Linked DNA regions of Ovis aries. The protein of the gene in region 1 binds, or shares a complex with, the protein of each later gene. Links are inferred from orthologs where the notes say so. Each region holds a gene or a part of one and is shown in the gene's direction. Other genes may lie near its edges.

Region 1 (4,335 bases):
GCTGTTAGGAGTAATGCTGCTATGAACATTTCTGTGCCGACATGAGTTTTCATTTCTTTCAGGTAGATATCTAGGAGTTCACCCATTTTTTAGAACCAAATTCCAGACACCGTGTGATTTTTTTCCAGAAAAAGTTCCATGTGCATCTCTAAGAAATGACTTTGAAAGAAACATAACCACACCAGCACTGTCACATGTAAAATAGTACCATTACCTGCTAAGTGTCATCAAATAGATTCTAAGATACATCTTGACAGGATTTCCTGATGGATCTCATGTGAGCTGTGAGAGGCAGATGAGAATCAAGAAGGACTTGAAGGTTTTGTCCTGCCAACTAGAGCATGGGTTAGCCATCTACTGGTAACAAGGAAGGCCATGAGTGGAACTGGCTTCTGGGGATGATCAGGAGTATAGTTTTACTGAGGTTAGTTTTGAGAGGATGACTAGATATCCAAGTGGAGATATTCATCTAATAGAACAGGTGGTGTGGGCTATTTGCACTCTTAGATGAGGAAGGTCTCACTAAGTTGCCATCGAGTAAGCCTGGAAGACAGGACATGAGCCATATGGATATCTGGGGAAAGAATGTTTTAGAGGAGAGGAAAGTATGTGCAAAGGTCCTGAGGCAGAAGCTTACCTGTAATGTTCAGGGAAGACTAAAGAGGCAAGCATAGCTGGGGCAGAATGGAGAGGGGCTGAGGAGGTAGTCATGGTGGAGACTAGTCATGTGGGATTAGTAAGCCAGTGGAAGGATTCAGGCTTTGATCCTGAGTGTGACAGGAACCAGGGGAGGGGGCTGAGCTATGTGGATTCATCTGGAGTATGGAGGATATTATGGATTGTTATGTTTCCTCCAAAGAAATGTCCATATCCTAACCCCTAGTACCTCAGAATGTGACCTTAGTTAAACATGAGGTCTTTGCAGATATAACCAAGTTAAGGTGAGGTCACAGTAGCTGAGGATGGGTTTAAATCCAATGACTGGTGTCCTTAGAAGAGAAGCAGACATACAGGGAAGATGGTCACGTGATGATGGAGGCAGAGATGGAGTGATGCAGCTACAGCTGATGAATACCAAGGACCGCTGGCCACCCCCAGAAGCCAAGGCAGTGGGCTGGAGCTGATCCTCCCTCAAAGCCCTCAGAACTATCCAGCGCTGCTGACACCTTGCTCTTGGACTCCTGGCCTCTAGAAAGCAATCTGTTTCTGTTATCTTAACCACCTGCCAAATTTGTGGTCCTTTTGGGCAGCCCTGGGGAACTCCTACAGCCACAGGGGTGGAACTGGGAGCCTGGGCAAGCTTATTGTAGCTGCTCAGCAAGGGACTCTCAGTGGGCTGGGCCCAGTGGTGGGCTGGAGTGTGGGCATTAATCCATAGGGTGTGCCCATGGGCTTCAAGGTGGAGAAGTTAGACAGGCAGTCAGATAGCTAAGTTGGGTTGTAAGAGACAAGTCTGTCCTGGAGGTAGGACTCTGTAAAGTCTCAGCCTTTGGAGGGTACTGAAGGCCTTGAGACAGAGCAGGTCATCCTCACATGTGTATACATGGAGAGGGTCACAGGCCTCAGACTGCCTTTGAGAAGGAATGGTGGGCGGGGCTGTGTGCACATGTGTGAGTGCACGAGTGTGTGTGTGCAGGCCCCCAGGCCTGGCTGGGAGGTCTGTGTGGTGGTTGGTACCGAGGGGCGGGGAAAGCTGAGGACTGGGGCTTGACCCTGGGCTTGAGCAGGCCTCGGTCTCGGGACTGGAGTCTGGACAGCTTGAAGGGAGTTGGGCAAAGGGGAGTTGGGCCAACTCTTGCATCTTGTTGCTTGTGCAAATCTTCTGGAAATGGTATTAGTCCACATCACCTTCCAGTGGCCTGGGGCCCATGGAGCAGTGTATCTTTGTCACTCTGTTTGAATCTTGCCTTCCTCGGCACTGAGTCTCAGAGGTGGAGAGGCTCCCATGTCCCTGCCTCTCCTTTTGCCCCATCTGCAGGGATGAGGAAGGCCTGGGAGGGGGTGCTCACGGGACGGGATCTCTTTCCACTGCTTCAGTTGCCTGGATGAGGGGGAGATGCTTCCAGAGGTGGAGGTTAGGTGAGGGGGACCGCTGAGGGCAGCACTCAGGAGGCCTGTCACCGTGTTTCCAGGCTTCCCCGGGGACTTGAGTGTGCAAGGGGCAGGCAGCTGGCAAAAAAACCACTGCTGACAGAAAGTGGCTCTTTTTTTTTTTTCATGCAGCAGATGGCTGAGGACAAGGCCTCAGTGAAAGCCCAGGTAACATCCTTGCTGGGGGAGCTGCAGGAGAGCCAGAGTCGCTTGGAGGCTGCCACTAAGGAGCGCCAGGCTTTGGAGAGCAGGTGAAGTGACAGGGAGGGCGAGCCCAGCCCGAGGCCACTGCCAGGGCTCCCGAGGAGAACAGGACCCTTCGGGAGCCTCCAGAAATGTCCTCTGTGACAGGACACACAGGACTGGGGGTACTGGGCGTCCAGGACCTGGGTCTCAGTGCACCTGTGGGCTCTCTGACCTTCTGCTGGAGTTTGTCTTCTTTACTGAGTGGGTGTTTCTGGGGTGGTGTGAAAGGGCACGCCTGTGGGCTGCAGGGAAGCCCTCCCAGCTGAGAATGATGACAAGGAATGGGCACACACCAGGACCCCCAAGGGCAGAAGACACGGGTCAGGGGTGAAGACCCCCATGCCTTTGGTTCCCTCTCTCCCTCCCTTGAGGGGGCCCCAGCACGCTTCCTTCATAGGCAGCAACAGAGGCCCCCCCTGGAGACCTAGGGAGCCCACTCGAGATTCAGCGCCATGAGTATTATTGAGGGCTGATGGCTACCAGGCATGTGCCAAACTTCCTGACTCCCAGAGGAAAGCTGGTGCGCCCTGTAGACCACCCTGTGGTGCCAACAGCTGAGGCACAGAGACCACCCTTATCAGTAGAGAAAGTGTCGCATCAATGTCAAGGACTCGCACCAGCCTACTGCCCAGGCACCATCCCCGGGCCATCCTTGCACACTGGCCCTTCTGAAGTCAGCATCCTTAGGTCCTCTGGTGGCTCTCTTCTGCAGTGGGAGGTTTCTGCAGGTGAGGGTATTGGGTCAAAGGGCACGGATGTTTCTGTGGATCTCACGCCCCTCCACTGCAGATGCCCCAAACTGATGGGTTTGGGCTACAGGGTGGCCCCAGCCCTCGCAGCACTGGAGGTGGTCAGGGTGCCCCGGGTGGTGTCCGGGATGCCTTCCTGAAGGAGGCTAGGGGAACAGGCAGGAGGTAAGCGTGTGTGAGCGTGCCGCCCTCTAGGAAATGGATGGCGAGTGGGGAGGCCACTCAAGGATGAGCCTACTGGCTCTGGGATTGTTGCATCCTGCCGTCTCCCCAGACATGCCTCAGTCACTCAGTGTTGGGAAAAGGCACATGTAATTTTTAGGATACTCTGGTATCTTCTCTGCCTATCTCTTTTTCTGTGCACCTAAAAGAAGCTGCTGGAGTTGGGACACTGTCAATGCAGTTTTGTAACTGCCTTTGGTCCTCTGTGGAGAAGGCAATGGCACCCCACTCCAGTACTCTTGCCTGGAAAATCCCATGGACGGCGGAGCCTGGAAGGCTGCAGTCCATGGGGTCGCTGAGGGTTGGACACGACTAAGCGACTTCACTTTCACTTTTCACTTTCCTGCATTGGAGAAGGAAATGGCAACCCACTCCAGTGTTCATGCCTGGAGAATCCCAGGGATGGGGGTGCCTGGTGGGCTGCCGTCTATGGGGTCGCACAGAGTTGGACACGACTGAAGCGACTTAGCAGTAGCAGTTGGTCCTCTAACGACCCTGGAGGGCCGTTATTCCAGCAGTTATAGGCTCTTGGGCACCCTGCTTTCCTATCACCCCACCTCCGCTTCTACCCCCTTGGCTGAGCACGTATGTGCTGAACTACACAGCTCAGGGCAGGAGGTGTCTCCCATCAGGCCCCTGGCAGGTGGCAGTCCCATCCGATGATGGCAGTGACAGGGCTGGGTTTTGTCAGCTCACAGACGGGATCTGCGTCTGATAGACTGGCCCAGGTGTGGAGAGATGCTGGGACCAGAGCCCATCTCCAGCAGCCTCCCGCCATCACCCTGCAGTGGGGCTGAGGCAGCCTCGGTCCAGTGGTTGGCCTGGCCGAAGCCTGGACCCAGAGTGCAAGGTGCTGTTTGGATGTAGGAGACCCGGGGCGGTGGGGGGTGCTGGGCCATCAGTGCTGTATACCCACAGGCAGGCAAGTAGGAGGCTCTTTGGACAGGTGTGGAGCCTGCGTGGCCTCTGGAGCAGTGCCCCTTTCCGGCTCCCCCCCATTTCTGACTTCTCCCTCCCCACCTTCTAG
Region 2 (4,335 bases), on another chromosome or scaffold:
GGCATCTTCAGTTAATTTCAGCCTCATCTAAACGGGACAGAGAAGATGGCCCACAGGCTGTTGACCTTGAATCGCAAAACCATTTTATTTGTGAAATTGTCTTTGTACGTTAGTAATTAATATATGCACAAGATACCAAAAGGTACAATAGAACAATACAGTGAAGAGTAAGCTCCTCCGTGTCCCCAGTTTCCCAGGGAAAACTGCCACCAGACTCCTGAGTCTTCCTTCCAAGGTGTTCTGTGCATCTGTAAATGTGGACGTGTGTGTACCCCGGGGCGCAAAAGTGAGCAACAGGAGGCAGGCTCAACACCCAAGGCGGTTGTATAATAGCTGAGCCGTTACATAACCGACCAGTGTGGCTGAGCCAGCGGGCTCCAGGGGTGGGATGCTGTCGTCTACCGCAGGCACTGCGCCCTGACTGTCGCCTGTGTTTCCATTCAGTGCAAGAGCCCAAGAGGAACCTCCCGTTCTTCCAGCTGCGGAAGGTGTGGGGCCAAGTCTGGCACAGCATCCAGGCCCTGAAGGAAGACTGCAGCCGCCTGCAGCAGGGCCAGCGCGCGGCCATGTAGGTGCCCAGGTGCAGGGCACCATGTGCCTAGAGTGCCCTGTGGCCTGGCCGCGGGGCGGGGGCCGAGGCGGGGCCCCAGGGTCAGCCGCTGTCGGGAGGGGCAGGAGGGAAGACGCTGCTCTGGAAGGGCGGGAAGCCATCGGTGGGCAGGATGGAGGGAGGGCCTGTTAGACCCAACAGGCACATGTGGTCAGCGCGCGGACCAGGGTTGTGGACGGGGTGGGGGGCGGCCGGCCGGAGGGCTGGCCCAGCTCCACTGTGGGTCGGCCACCCTGCCGGGCCAGGCTGACTCTTTCCCCAGGTTGTGGCTGGTCTGGGTTCCTTTGCGTGGCACTTCACCTAATTCTAGTTTAGGAGCAGAGCCTCACCCATCGCTACGGGCCAGGAAATTGTCGTGATGGTTATATGTGGCTGCACTTGTTGTGATTATACTAATTATAGCAGGGGCCTGCCAAGGTGTTGGAGGCCAGTTTTATTATGGTCCGGGAAGTGGTACCTGGATCCCAAACACACCCGTGGTGTGTCTCTTGGGGGCCCCTGCAGGATGAATCTTCTGCGGAACAACAGCTGTCTGTCCAAGATGAAGAACTCCATGGCCTCCATGTCTCAGCAGCTCAAAGCCAAGCTGGACTTCTTTAAAACCAGCATCCAGATTGACCTGGAGAAGTACAGGGAGCAGACGGAGTTTGGGATCAGTGAGTGTGTCCTTTGCAATCAATCTGGAGAGACCGTTAAAATCCTTTCTCAAGTTTTTTTTTTCTTTTTTTCTTTTTTTGTGTTATAATGGAGTGCCTTTTTATTTTCTTGGTTTTGGGGTATTTTCTTTTTTTTTTTTTTAACTTTTGTTTTCCCCTCCGTGTTTTTCCTCCAGCGTCGGATAAGCTGCTGCTAGCCTGGAGGGAGATGGAGCAGGCCGTGGAGCTCTGCGGACGGGTAGGAGGCTCCCTGGGTTCCCAGCCCTGCCGAGGGCACCCTCTTCCCTGCCATCTCTCCCCTTTCTCACTGAGCGCTTGGTCTAGCTTCTGTGTCAAAAATCACATTTTCTTCACCAGGCTCTCTGCTCTCAGCTAGCACTTGCTGGAAGGAGGTAGGGGGTGCCAGGCAGAGGTCCCCAGTGTGGCCAGTCCGGGAGCCACACAGGTTTGAGTCAGGCTTACGACGTGACACGTCCTGGGGAGTACAGACTTCTTCCCGCGAGAAGGGCCCTTGGATAAAGGAGCAGCACTTGGTTGTGTCAGAAGTTGCCCTGACTTCCTCCTCGGGACACTGAGCCCGTAGGAAGGAACGGGTCCGAAGGGGCAAGTCTGAGGGCTGTGAATCCGATGCCGCTGAACAGTGTTGATTGTGAGGCCAGGCAGGGAGGCGGGGTGCCCCTGTGGACCTCGCTCAGGGGGAAGCCTGGGCCCCAAGGCCTTTTCCTGGACTTTTCCACCATCTGCCCAGTGAACTTGGGCAGGGAGCCTCCCCTCCATGTCGAAGCGTCTGTTTCTATAAATCGGTGCTGATGCCCCTTGTTCGAGGTGGGTGACCCCTTGTTCAGGCACAGGGATGTGAGCCACCACTCCACCCCTGCCCCCCGTTCCCCACGATCTCTGTCCTCGTGGGCGTAACCCTTGAGATCAAGGGCAAGTTAGAGGGGAGCGTGCCCCGGCTCGTCTCCACACGGGGGCCAGGCCAGGTCCCCTCAGGCCCCGTCGCATCTTGCCCTAGTTTCCAGTGGGGGAGACTGCAGCTTGGGGCCAGGTGACCTGCCCCAGGGCCACAGAGCTGGCGGGTGGCAGGCCTAGATCCTGGCCACAGACTCCCGAGGCCATGTCCCTTCTAGCCGGGCAGCTGAAGGTCCATGGTGAGGCTCAGGAGTCCCTGGCCGAGTCTGTCGGGGCTCAGCCTCAGCGTGGCTCTGTCTCCAGGAGAACGAGGTGAAGCACTTGGTGGAGCGGATGATGGCCCTGCAGACGGACATCGTGGACCTGCAGCGCAGCCCCATGGGCCGGAAGCAGGGCGGGACACTGGACGACCTGTGAGTGTGTGCATGTGCCTGCGCGCGGGCGGGCGCACGGGCGGGCTGTTCAAGCGCAGTTCCTCTGGAGCGCGCCCTCCTGTGCAGCCCGGTCCTGGGGAGGTCCTCTCGGCACATCTGGAAGCTGAGCCCGGGCAGACCTCCGTCCCTCTGAGCCTCACCTGAGACAGAAGAGCTGTCTGACCTCACAGTTGTGGGGACCAGTTCAGATAACGCCCCGAGCCATGGTTCGTGAACTCCAAAGCATCAGGTCAGATGCCCCTCTGCCCAGCATACCCCTGAGAAGCAGGAAGTAGGAAGGGAGGGAGCCAGGTAAGTCTTAGAAGGTGGAACCTTGACTCTTCATTTGAGTCGTGATCAGGACTTTGGCCTCAGCTCCAGGGACCCTCCCTGGGCAGAGCAGCCCCTCCTGCATTCCGGGAGCAGACGAGGGCACCAGGAGAGCCTCCCTGGGGCTCAGCTAGGCCTCTGATGCTTCTGCCAGGATTCTTAGAACCGGAGGCTCCAGTCTTTGAAATCTGATTATCTGTAGCCTGTATTTTGTCAAGTTAGTCAGTGTTTTATCTTACTCTGGTTTTCAAACAAAAGTCAGCCCCTGGAAACATCAGTCCATCTCACTGTGTTTGGGCCCTGGGGAGGGCATGTCTGCTCCTGGCTTGAGTTTCAGAGGCCACGTTCTCTGAACTCAGGACCCACACCTCTGAATTGCGGGGGCCAGGCGGGTGGGGAATGCTGAGGGACAGAGGAGGCTTCTGTCCTGAGGACTCTCAGGAAGTCTTGACCATGAGCTTTGAGTTGGCATTTCGACAGTGAGCCGGGTCTTCCTCTGTCATGGGTTTCGCCCGTGACATCCCCAGGGAGCGTGCTTGCCTCTGGCCAGGACGTGCTGCCTGCCCAGCTTCCAGAAGTTGCTGATGCTGCCGGCAGTAGCTCTGGCGCTGATGGAGCCGCTGCCTTGTGTGTTTCAGAGAAGAGCAGGCGCGGGAGCTTTACCGCAGGCTGAGGGAGAAACCGAGAGGTGAGTGGGCCGCCTCCCGGGTCCCCTACTGCCCGGGCACCAGACCGGCCCCCCACAGACCGTGCGGCTCCGTCCCGCTTTGCAGACCAGCGGACTGATGGTGACAGTCAGGAAATGGTGCGCCTGCTCCTCCAGGCAATCCAAGGCTTTGAGAAGAAAGTGCGAGTGATTTACACGCAGCTCAGGTATCAGGCCGCTGTCCCCTTGGAGGGTGGAATGAGGAGAGGCCCCATCCCCTCCCCTGGGCCCTGGAGGAGCTGCCAGCTGCAGTGGCCGAACAGAGTCATCCCCGCTGGGGCCCGCGTCCTGCTCCCCCTGACCTGGGCGCGCTGGAACTCATCGCACTTGGTCTTCACAGTAAGACCGTGGTCTGCAAGCAGAAGGCCCTGGAGCTGCTGCCCAAGGTGGAGGAGGTGGTCAGCCTGATGAGCGAGGATGAGAAGACGGTGGTGCGGCTGCAGGAGAAACGGCAGAAGGAGCTCTGGAACCTCCTGAAGATCGCGTGTGTGAGTGAGCCCCGGCGGGCCTGTCCTGGAGGCGGCAGGGTTGGTGTCCATGCATCAGCTGAGCCGGGCCCCTTCGGGAGGCTCAAGGGGAGAATCCCTCCTCGCCACTTCTCGGACGCCACTGGCTCCAGCACTCCTTGGCTTGCGGCAGCATCACTTCAGTCTCTGCCTCTGACCCCGTGTGGCCCTCTTCTCTAGTCTCTCCCTCTCTTTAAAGTTT
Region 3 (4,104 bases), on another chromosome or scaffold:
TTTATTAGAGAATGCAAATGGTTGCAAATGTTACCTCTATACAAGTGATTTTCAGTGTGAGGTTATGATTGTTTGCAAAAATATATTCACCAGGAATTTAAAAATATATTTTCCAAAAGGAAAACTGGTTTCAGTAATAATATACCTGTGGTACTTAACCACCAAGGACTGGGGACTGTTGACCTCAATTTTTCTATCTGTTGAATAAGCTGAATGAGAATTTAGTTCTAAGCTAACAGTGACCATCTTCCATGGCCTGGAATTGGTTCTACTGGGGTAGGGACTGAGGGTTAGTAAAAGGTAAGGATGGAGGCCATATGGAAGAGGAAAGTATAGAAGATAGAAATCAGATTCAGGATTGTCTTCAAATTTCCAAGGATACTTCTTTGTTCTTTGCAGCTCCCCGTCATAGTTTTCTTCTGCTGTCGTCAGGAATCAGCTTGCTTTTCTTTTTCATTGCTGTTATCTATATTTTCCACAGTTTTTTTCACCTTCCCTAATCTTTGCAGAAAAGATAGCTTATCTTTTCTGTCTCTTCCCCTACATTTGTGTCTCAGAAGTAAGCATGCTGATGTTTTTACTACTTGTAAGGAAAAGGAAATGTTCCAGAAACAAAAAGAGATCTTTCATCTGGCTGTGCCACAGGATCTCTTTTTCCCCGAGTGAGCATTTTCAGGGGGGAAAAGTTGTATATAAGTGCTACTTATATTTCAGAGGAAAATCAGATTGGCGTTATAGTGGACTCCTTATCATTAGAGCTGGGCAGAGGCAGCAGCCTGGAGTAACAAACAGGACTCTGCCTCTGGGTGGGAGGGATGAGCAAACTGAAGACAACAGGAATCAGCTGTGTTGGGTTGCTGGGTTGTGGTGTTGTAGCAAGAGCAGTATCATCCTGACCCTGAAAATCAGAAAGTAGAGGAAATTCATATGCCCTTTTGCTTTCATTCGACAGGGAGACTTTAGCACAAATGATAGAAGAAAATTTGAACTGTCTTGGCCATTTAAGCACTATTATTCATGAAGCAAATGAAAAACAGGGCAACAGTATGATGGTAAGTTTTATATGAATATGGATGTGTGTTTTAAGTGTGTTGGGTGCAAAGGGCTTAACTTTCCATGCTGGACTTATCTGGTGTTTGGGATTCAGTTGGGGAATAGAACTCAGAGCAAACAGCATTTGAGGAATGCTTAACCTCAACTCCCCATCTTCTCTTACTCATGGATATACTAGGATTATACCATCAGTAATCTTTAATAGCATTTTTGGTCAAGTTAAATGATTGGTGAGCTTTCTTTGCAGTGTGACCACTGAAATCAAATGGTCTGTACTTTTTTGCTTCTGCAGTCAGTTTTCCCCAGTAAGATGGGGCATAATTTGTACTGTACTTCAAATATAGTAACTGTTGTGTGCAAAATGAATAATGTTAATATGGTTATTAACAGAAGTGTTTTTATGAAGATTTGATTGCTATGAATTACTGATTTGTTAAAACTTGGCGAAACTACAATAAAATATTTACTGAATTAACTTTTACTATGTTTAGTCTTGATATTAATTCTTTGTTTATTCCTCTTTCATTATTTGCTTCAAATATCTGAAAACTCTTTGAAAATTTTTTTTTGTTAGTAGAAATTAAGGTAAACTAGACTCTTTAATTGTAACTTATTTGTATTTTTGGTTTTTCAACTTTTGATTATAAAATCTCCAAATAAACAGAAAACTTGCAAAAATGAACACCCATATACCTACTGCTTAGAGTCAACATCTAATGGTAACTTTTTCATGCCTGGTTTTAGAGTCTTGATTGGAGTTGGTTAACAGAATGACTTGCCACTTAGTGACTCTCCTGAAACCTATGAAGTTGTTGCTGCACATGTTAGACATTTGTTTTTCTCCTATGAAGCCATTCTTCAAATACCAGTCAATGGAAGAAATGACTATGATCAGAAACTCCACATGATTTTACAGCATAATATTTTGATTCTGGGTAATTTTAACTTCTGAACAGATAGAATTTTATGAGTCGGTGGACTTAAATCCATTTGTCTTCAAACTTGGTAAAACATTACTTATTTAACTGATTCTTTCAACATTTAACTTTTGGGCATAAGGCCAAAATAATGTATACAGAGAAGAAAATCTCAACATGTATTCTAAGTAAAAAGTGTTTGCCTATGTTTCTGTGGAAGAGACTGCTTGTGTTGTACTTGTGTTGCACTTAACAGTGCTCTTCCCAGCCTCATAAGAGAGTTTAATCCCATTTTCCATTTTACTGTACATTTGATTGTATCCCTTTCCTATGAAAGGGATTGTGCATTTGTGCCTTTAATACCAATTGATTCTTCCAAATGTTAAGTGTGCTATATGTATATGTATTTAAGATGTACATTTAATAATATCAAAGAGAAGATACCTGTTAATTTATAATGTATTTGAAAGCTTATCTGTTTTCATTTGTAAAAATGGGTCTTTTCAGGAATCTTTCATGTCTTGTCATACAAATTTATAAAGATCTGCATTCTTTATCTATAATTCCAAAATCCAAAAATCTTTGAAAACAAGATTTTTCATAAAATTGATGACAAAATTCATCTGCTTGCACATCCAACAAGAATTGACAGTGAGTCTACTTATCCCATTTAGTGTGAATATTCTTTTCTTTTGCTGCAGAAATATTACTGTATTTGATTATTAGGGGGAAGGGTGCTGGCACAGACCCTGCCTGAGGTTTATGTAGTATGGTATATGCACTGAATTACCTTTCTAAAATCTGAAAATTTCATAATTCTGAAGCATCTGTCCCCAAGGGTTTCAAGACTAGATTGGGTTGCCTTCAAGATGGTATGGCCGCAGACAGGGTTTCAGATAAAGGATTGTGGATCTATTGTCTATTAAATAATTTAGAAGGTATTACTTGTTTTAAAAATGTGAAATGCTTTTGTATTCTAGACAGTTTTTCACTTTGTATATTAAACAATTTTTAAATTACTTTCTGAATCTCTATTCATTAAAACCAGACTGTAGCAGAATAATTGAATATGCTTTGAGAAAATGTGAAGGTTCCATGAAGCAAAGTTGGAGCACAGAGTAACATAACAGGCTTTTAGTGTACTTAGGAATGAAACAGACTTACGGTAAAGGCAGTATTGGGTAGCTTCTTTAATATAGTCTTTTCTCCTGAGATGGCCTGTCATCACTATCTGTTTCTAAAAACTATGCTTATACCATGTCCTAAAAACTGCTGTCTTAGTTACACCATCCCCATTTTTGCTAATAGTGTCATTTTTCCAGTCATCTCAGTTTGAGACCTTGGGATTGTCTTCGCCTAACTTTTTAGTCAACTGCTACTACTGTTTCTCTGAATATGGACATTCTGGCTACCAGCCATTAAAACTGGCTGTCTCTCTCTTGCTTCTTCCAGTTCTAGAAGGTTTTAATCAGTAAACATTTATTGGGTGCCTGTTGCTTGGAAGAAACTGAGCAAAATGGGAAGATCAGAAAAATTAACACAGGCAGTACAATAAGAGTGTTTATTTGGAATGAAATTATTGTTAAAGGCTTTTTGAAATGAGCATTTTCTAAATATCATTATAATAACTGATAAAAGACCTGGTATAGGGTGGGACTATTTTTATGGTTTGTGGCTGATACCACCTCAGGAGAGCCTGATCTGTATGATATAGGCAAGTGGTATGAGTCAGAACAGCCTATTACAGTGAGATCACCTCAGATATGCTTTTGATACATGAGTTGACCACTCTATTTGTTATTTGTTGACAGTTTTCAGAGTTGAATTTCAATTGTGGATTATATCTATTTCATTCAAGCAATACTATGAAAAACTAAAATAATTCATCCAGAAAACAGAAGTAAACGAGTTATTTTTCATTCGTTTTGCTTTTTGTAGGTCAAAATAGCTAAGCTCTGCAACAAACATTTATCTAGTACAGACAAGGTCCCATATATTCTTAGGTGTAAAAGTCAAAGGGATGATCCAGGTAAGTGCATTTATTGAAGGGAAAAGGTAAAGTTGTTTGGGAGGGCTTGCTTTAATGAAGATTTGAATTGATTCTATTACCTCTTTCCATTTCCACCAGTTACAA

The links. The genes of interacting proteins can lie anywhere in the genome.
Region 2: the proteins of IKBKG (region 1) and IKBKB are in contact, whole or in part, in a crystal structure (PDB 3BRV), measured with the Homo sapiens proteins. The link is inferred for Ovis aries from reciprocal best matches to the Homo sapiens genes IKBKG and IKBKB. Residues at the interface, in NP_001093327.1 of Homo sapiens: Arg62, Ile65, Arg66, Asn69, Leu72, Arg73, Arg75, Cys76, Leu79, Phe82, Gln83, Gln86, Lys90, Leu93, Met94, Phe97, Ala100, Arg101, Val104; in NP_001547.1 of Homo sapiens: Ser705, Leu708, Glu711, Ala712, Leu715, Cys716, Leu718, Leu719, Ala722, Ile723, Asp725, Thr726, Glu729, Gln730, Gln732, Phe734, Leu737, Asp738, Trp739, Trp741.
Region 3: IKBKG (region 1) and CHUK share a complex: the UniProt entries of both Homo sapiens proteins name them as parts of the I-kappa-B-kinase (IKK) core complex. The link is inferred for Ovis aries from reciprocal best matches to the Homo sapiens genes IKBKG and CHUK.

What each region holds. Positions count from the first base shown.
Region 1 is NC_056080.1:79,905,562-79,909,896, reverse strand, and holds part of IKBKG (NF-kappa-B essential modulator), read left to right. Parts: intron 1-2,223; coding exon 2,224-2,342; intron 2,343-4,335. UniProt on the Homo sapiens protein: Regulatory subunit of the IKK core complex which phosphorylates inhibitors of NF-kappa-B thus leading to the dissociation of the inhibitor/NF-kappa-B complex and ultimately the degradation of the inhibitor.
Region 2 is NC_056079.1:36,495,346-36,499,680, forward strand, and holds part of IKBKB (inhibitor of nuclear factor kappa-B kinase subunit beta), read left to right. Parts: intron 1-444; coding exon 445-568; intron 569-1,114; coding exon 1,115-1,266; intron 1,267-1,442; coding exon 1,443-1,504; intron 1,505-2,481; coding exon 2,482-2,591; intron 2,592-3,559; coding exon 3,560-3,609; intron 3,610-3,694; coding exon 3,695-3,794; intron 3,795-3,967; coding exon 3,968-4,115; intron 4,116-4,335.
Region 3 is NC_056075.1:20,875,407-20,879,510, reverse strand, and holds the end of CHUK (inhibitor of nuclear factor kappa-B kinase subunit alpha), read left to right. Parts: exon of another isoform or gene 1-898; intron 899-952; coding exon 953-1,052; intron 1,053-1,797; coding exon 1,798-1,827; 3' UTR 1,828-2,989; downstream 2,990-4,104.